Linked DNA regions of Caenorhabditis elegans. The protein of the gene in region 1 purifies or fractionates together with the protein of each later gene. This does not show direct contact. Each region holds a gene or a part of one and is shown on either strand. Other genes may lie near its edges.

Region 1 (3,759 bases):
ATGGTAAATGTTGATAGGAAAAGACAAGAAAAACTGGGGGAAACGGGTGATTATGGAACAATGATAATGACGGGAAATGGACGAGAATGGGTGGACTGACAGGTGATTGGCAATTTTTAACCTATGATCTGTTGATAAACGGTAAATTGAATGAAATTGAAAAAAAACTATATTTTGGGGTTTGATGAGGTAAATAGTCTGATTTATGGAAAAGAAATTACCATAAACTTTTTTGCGCGCAGAAACCCATCTGAATAAATTCATGTGCCTTTAAGAGGGCATGTCAGAATCTTCTGAAATTATGATAAACTTTTTTAATCTAAAAATTTTATTTTGGGAAAAAACATTTGAAATTCTTCATAGCATTTCATTTTCAAAACAGATTCATTAACCAATTTAATTGGAAATCGTTTAGTATTTACATGCCATTTGAAAGCGTGGAAGCTTCTAAATGTTCAGAAATAAAGTTCGAGATAAAATCGAAACGAAATGAGGTTGTCGGGTGAGGGATTGTGGAGCGTCGTGACACACTTTCTTCACGTCTGCGTCTCTTAATATCGGCAATCTTTTGTGTTTAATGAGTCGCAAATGGGAAAACCGAGGTTTATGTTCAATAGAAAAATACATTGGAACTTACACGAAAAACCAATCGAAAAGTGTTTGAAGATAAATATAAATAAGCTAAGTTTTATTTTTATAATTATATAAAAATAAACAAAAACATGAAAATATTAGAATCCACCCATAATTTGTGCTTCGAGATCGTCCAAAGACATGTGCTCCAAATTGTTGGCACCCGTATTAGTTGATTTTACTGGCTCATCCGAAGCTTTCTTCACAGTTTCCACCGGTGGTTGTAACCATTCACACGTAATTTCAGGCATCGGAGCATTCCCAGTTTCAAGTTCAGCTCCCCATGCATTTGCTCCCGACTCAAATTCGAGGATTCGTTTCCGTCGATCTTTTTTCTCTATTGCCGAAGATATGTGAGATATGATTCCAAAAGTCGAAAATAATTTTCGAATATCGTCTTCAGAATAGTCTAATCCTTCTGATGTTTTCCATTTCAAAAGTAATCGAGGAGTTAATTTTTCTTGACTTTTCTGATGCTTTTCCCTTTCTGTTTTCATCAATGTTGCCTTCTGTTTCACCTCTTCGTTGACTTCTTTCTCCAACTGCCTCCGAATTGCTTCAATTTCTTCTTTAAAGTTTCTTTGATCGGTTTTCTTCTTTTTAGCTTGTTGTGCTGCTGTCATTGGAGTTGATCCATCTGCTGACCGTTTTCCACCATTGGAAAACTCCTTTTCTCTTTTTTCTAAATCTTCAATTAACTTTTTCCTTTTTCCATCTGCTTCAGCCATTCGTTTACTATGGTGTTCCTGAGCCATTCGAATTCTCTCTTCTCGATTATCATATTCTTCCTGAAAAATAAAGTATTACATTGACCAGCGACAGTAAAAACGTACTCGTTTCTCTTTATCATATAAAAAATCGAATGCTTCTTTGGCTTCAATGAATCTACGTTCGGCTTCTTCTTTATTATCCAAATTTTTGTCCGGATGCCATTTAAGACACTGTGCACGATATGCCTTCTGAATTTCTTTGTCTGTGCATCCCTTTTCGAGATGGAGAATTTTGTAGGGATTTGCACCGGGCTTGAGTGGCATTTTGAACCTTAAAAAAACTATTATTTCGAATTTGAAACGGGAAAAATATAAATATCATAGAAAAAATCCAGAAAGAGCTGAAAAGTTAGAAAAAGACAAAAAATTGTTTCAATTCTTTCGAAAATAAATGTTTTTTAAAATTGTCCATAGAGCGCGTTTGCTCTGTTACGACACTCCAAAATAACGAGGTGCATGTTGTTTACCGTAAATCCCATTATCAGACATTGTTCTTAATTTTTTAACATTTCTCAGATTTCTTCAAAGTTTTCTAATATTCAGCTTTACGGGTCCAATGCCTGGTGCAATGGAATCTCCAAACGAAAGCGAAGACGTTTCCAAAACGTTTTTTAAACTTTGCGATGGTAATTTCTATAGGTTGGATATTATAATTTTTCTCAAAACGTTAAGGCTTGCGATTGGGCGAACTGGTAACCACAGAGCATTTTCGGCTCTCAGATGTCATGTCAGCAATTGAACTGGGAGAACCGAAAATGGACGTTGGAGTAGGATCAAAACACATTAAAACATTGAAAGAAGCGATTAGTGGGGTATTTTGTCAAATTTCATTATCGAAACTAAGTCAATAATTTCAGGGACTCTACGCCGACGATTATCCTTTTCAACTTGCAATTATGGATAGTACGTTAGCGATGGTTGTCGCTTGGCTCGAAGGAAGTGCACTTGGATCGACAGTCTGGACAAACGTGCTGCTTTCAAATGTGACTTTTGTTAAACATCCCGTTTTCCACCCATTCGCATCCGGCGTCAATCTTTTCATTCGAAATGCTCATGCACTTATCAACAGTGTTGGTAACCTAGAAGAGTTACCCGAAGATTTCAATCCACAAATGCTCTTCAGTCATCAGAGATGGGCTCCTCGCAGAGTCGTCGTTCAGCTTATGCGAGAACAGGTTACATTGCTCGGTACTACTGGAAGAAAGTGGAGAGAGTCAGCATTCAGTAAACAGGCGTACGATATTTGCTGTGCTGTTGCATCCCGTCTTGAAATGTTTATTATGCTTTTGGAAATTATTGGCTTATTGGTTGCACCAGAAATTGAAGATCCTAACTTCGATCACAAAGTTCATCTGGGGGATTTCTATGTTCACGAAAAAGAATATGAAGGAGCCGAAGAGAATTCTGACGAAAAATCAGAAGAATCCACGTCTGATCCAACGCCTTCAAGTGAAGCAAAATCGGAAACCACAGAGAAGAAAGAACAGAAAAGTAATGATGAAGCAACAGATGAAACTGATCAAAATGATGATGAAAATGTAGGCGACGACGAAGATGAAGATGATATGAAACAATTCAAGCCCAATTTTGGATTCGCCTCGATTTTGGCTGAAAGACTGTGCAAGGTCACAAAGGCTTATGCGGAAACAGTTAAATTAGGAAGAAGAGCACCCGACAATATTGATGGTGATGGTGACTACCTATGGCTTGGCGCATATGAACCAAAAACTTGTATACGAATGATCCCGGCATGCTTCCCTCGAAAAATCAAGGTTCCATCAAGACAAGAAGCTGCTGATTGGTGGGTGAAGTGTGCTGAAAGAATATATCACCTATGCATTGTCACTCCAAAAACTTCAAAAGATTTGAACTATTTGTTCTACTTTGCGAGAACTTTCGGTCAGAATGCATGCGTCTTCACCAGATCTCTTCTTCAAATTTGCATGTTCCCAGTCGACAACCATCTGTGTGGTGATGAGAATCGATCAATTGCTGACGCCGTTGAATACTCACTGAGCAACTGCTTCTGCCCACAAATTCTTGATAGAGTGTGAGTACTTCTCAACAAGAATACATCACGAACTTATCTCATTATTTCAGATCTCCTGTTTACAAAGATCAAACTGCTCAAAGTCTATATGTGTTATTTTTGAATCACATGTCAAAACTCGCAATCACCGTCTATGGTAGTTTTGGATGCAATTTATCCCGTCAAAGAGATCGTCTTGAGATGGCCATTGAAGATCTTGGTCAAATCCATTCATATGCTGGACGACTGGAAGAGCGAACTGATGAAGTATTGCTTAGCGGAAAAATGGTTACTGGTAAGATAATTTAAAATTAAAAAAATTATGTT
Region 2 (3,501 bases), on another chromosome or scaffold:
TCTTCCTCCTCCTCATCATCGTCCTCTTCGTCATCGTCAGAATCTTCAGCAGCCGTAGCAATGGCACTCTTAGCAGTTTTCTTTGGTGGTTGTGGCTCCTCATCACTCTCCTCCTCATCTTCTTCGTCTTCACCAGAATCGTCTTCTACTGGTTTTGTTTGTTTTGCAAACGGAGTTCCGGTGGCAAGCTTTTTCTTCGGGACTTCTGGAATATTGAATAATTGCAAATAAATCTAAAATCAGCACTATACCCTCTTCCTCGTCGTCATCTCCATCACTATCATACTGTTTTCTCTTATCGCTAAAACCAACTCGGCTGCCTCCCCCACGAGATTGGAAGTTTCCTCTTCCTCCGCGCGGTGAGAAATCGTTTCCACCGCGTCCACGAGGTGTGAAGCCACCACGACCGCCTCCTCTAGGGGAGAACTTATTGCCACCACGGGACCCTCCAGAGAAATCTCCTCGACCGCGATTAGCTACACCACGATCTCCTCCTCGCCATGGAGAGCCACCACGATCACCTCCACGGAAGTTGCCGCGGTCTCCTCCACGCCATGGAGATCCTCCACGATCTCCACCTCGGAATCCACCACGGTCACCACCTCGGAAGCCTCCACCACGTCCTCTTGGGGAGAATCCACCTTCACGATCACCACGGAATCCTCCTGGTGAGCGACCTCTATCTCCTCCTCGGAATCCGCTTGATGAACGTCCTCTATCGCCTCCACGGAATCCGCCTGGAGAACGTCCTCTATCTCCACCTCGGAATCCACCACCGCCACCACGTGGGGTGAAGCCACTGCCACCACCACGACCACCGCGGAAGCCTCCGCCTCCGCGTCCTCTTGGTGAGTCGAAACCCATTTTGATTGTACCTGAAATAAATAAAATAAAGTTAGGAAGTCCTAATTAGAGTTAAATCAGGAAATAACAGCGACCAAATGTGTTGTAATGATATATTTCGATATTTTATGCATTATAGTAATTTTTAAGCAGAAAATTTCTTCAAAAAACGTAGAAAAGCGATTTATTTCAGTGATAAACATGAAAAAGTACACAAAGAGAATGTTTCTAAATTCGAAATTCATCGATAAGCGGGCGCAGGTCTCGCCACGATCTCTCGAATAAATGCATGCGCCTTTAAACGTTAATTTTCTTGCTGGCGGCAGCCGGCTTGCAACGGCTTTCAACAATTCGACAAATCAATAAAAACTGGATTTTCCGTACATTTCTTTTTGTTTGTTATCAAAACCGTTTGAACTGTCAATTATACACTTTTTAGAATTCGTTTTCATCAATTAGAATGTTTGTTCGTATTTATATTGCGTGATATTCTTTTAAAATTGAACAAAATAGTTTAATATAAATATTTTATTTGCAAAACTCTGTCATTTGCGATACATAGTTCTTTCCTAATTGTTTTAGTAAAAACTTAAGTTTCACGTGCCACCTTATCCACGTTTCTATTTCTACGGTGTATTGCCCCTCGGCGAATTCGAGTTATAACTTTTTTACAAGCTCGTATATTGCAAATCCTCCATTAATCTCTATTTTTTTCTCCTTTTGCATTCGCTTCCGAATTTTTTGTGCCGTTTACTCAACTGCTCTATCTTTGCAGCAGGATGAACATTCGTTGTGCTCGCGTGGACGATTTGATGAGCATGCAAAATGCGAATCTTATGTGCCTTCCAGAGAATTATCAAATGAAATACTACTTCTATCACGCTCTTTCTTGGCCGCAGCTCTCTTATATTGCTGAAGATCACAAGGTATTTTTTATTCTCATGCAAATCTTGACTTGAAACATTTATTGTTGTTCAGGGAAATGTTGTTGGATATGTTCTCGCCAAAATGGAAGAAGACCCAGGAGAGGAGCCACATGGTCATATCACCTCTTTGGCCGTCAAAAGATCTTACAGACGTCTGGGATTGGCTAATAAAATGATGGATCAGACCGCAAGAGCCATGGTCGAAACCTACAACGCTAAATACGTATCGCTTCATGTTCGTGTATCAAACCGAGCCGCATTGAATCTATACAAGAACACACTGAAATTCGAAATTGTGGATACAGAGCCAAAGTAAGTATTAATTTGAATAAATCCTCATTTCTCGGCGCGGATTAGTTCGTCCCTCGATGAACAACTGAAAAAATTCTAATCGACGTTTCCCAATCACCCGTTCGATTTCCAACGTTATACTTTTTACAGAAGTGATGGAATTAAATAATTTTGTATTCTTTTTTGGTTCACCTATTTTTAATTTTTGTTCCAAGTCAAGTTCAAATTGAAAAAGGTTATTGTGATTATCAGTGAAAGGACAAAATGTTTCGAAAAATAATTACGTTTAATAACGTGGCGCTTTTTTAAAACAATAAACAAAAATATGCGAGCGAGGTGATTAAACTTTGGCATCAATCAGAAGAAACATACTTCAATTTGCAAATTATGATAACTTTTAGAACCTTATTAACCCTAATTATTAACAAAAATGACAAATTCCAGATATTACGCGGATGGAGAAGATGCATACGCTATGCGTCGCGATCTCGCAAAATGGGCAGAAGAACGGAACATCGAGCCAGCAGATCGAGAGGCCTATACCACTGCAAAAACCACTGACGATAAAAAGAAAAATCGCAGTTAATTCGTTATCAAAGTTTATTTTTGCCTTTTCCAACTGGTTCATTCTGATACTTTCTCTGTTCTCCCCTTTCAGGAGGATCTCTTTTCTTTCAATTCTCGTTTCCTCCTCTGGTTTTAGATTAGGTAAAAATTTAAGTTTTCCCCTGAATAATCTCTTTGATCCCCCTTTGAAAGCTCATTAATAAATTTAAAGCATTAAAATGGTTTGTAGATGTTATAAGCAGTTGATTTCTGTATTCAAATATCTGTAAATATTTATTTCGACCTTTAAAGTTAATGTTTTAGATGAAAGGTGGCGGTGGAATAGGGGATGGCAAAAAGGACTATCAATCAGCTGTTCATGAAGTAAGTTTTTATTAAAAACTCTGTTATTCCTTTTAATAGTTTTGAGTGATTCAGATGAAATATAGATTTTAAATCTAAATTTTTCAGGGATTAACAACATTCGATCAATTGGGAATTGCACTTGAAGATGTCGGTAAATCAATGGACGCAGAAACAGCTACACCAGGAGGAAGTTTATTTTCCAGAGTTATGTAAGTGATTCGGTTATTCTCGAAAAAAAACTCATTGTTGAAAATGTAGCACTATTTTCTAACATTTCAACAAATAAAATTCTGGCTCACTACCGAGTTCGTATTTTCAACATTGAACAGACACATGGAATTGTTTTCAAAAATCATTCGGTCTCACACATTATGGAGGGAGAAACAGTTTAACCTCAACGCAAATCCGATTTGGTCGAATCGTTTCATCGCCTCTCCCTCTGCTCTCATAAAACAAATAGATTGAGAGTGGTGTTACACGAGTTTTCCATACCAAATGAGATCCTTTTTGACAGGTCGGAGAGAGAATT

Evidence for each region. The genes of interacting proteins can lie anywhere in the genome.
Region 2: the proteins of natc-1 (region 1) and daf-31 fractionate together in Caenorhabditis elegans (co-fractionation; one large-scale study listed by BioGRID). This does not show direct contact.

What each region holds. Positions count from the first base shown.
Region 1 is NC_003283.11:8,460,441-8,464,199, forward strand, and holds the start of natc-1 (Protein MAK10 homolog), read left to right. Parts: upstream 1-1,918; 5' UTR 1,919-1,959; coding exon 1,960-2,029; intron 2,030-2,075; coding exon 2,076-2,215; intron 2,216-2,260; coding exon 2,261-3,453; intron 3,454-3,503; coding exon 3,504-3,727; intron 3,728-3,759. Other genes in the region: dnj-22 (J domain-containing protein), read right to left, coding at 732-1,421, 1,467-1,667.
Region 2 is NC_003282.8:8,288,655-8,292,155, forward strand, and holds daf-31 (N-alpha-acetyltransferase daf-31), read left to right. Parts: upstream 1-1,618; 5' UTR 1,619-1,622; coding exon 1,623-1,769; intron 1,770-1,821; coding exon 1,822-2,081; intron 2,082-2,504; coding exon 2,505-2,646; 3' UTR 2,647-2,842; downstream 2,843-3,501. Other genes in the region: nucl-1 (Nucleolin homolog 1), read right to left, coding at 1-205, 252-864; K07H8.2 (SLC41A/MgtE integral membrane domain-containing protein), read left to right, coding at 2,931-2,990, 3,078-3,181. UniProt on the Caenorhabditis elegans protein: Catalytic subunit of the N-terminal acetyltransferase A (NatA) complex which displays alpha (N-terminal) acetyltransferase activity. Plays a role in regulating larval development, metabolism and longevity.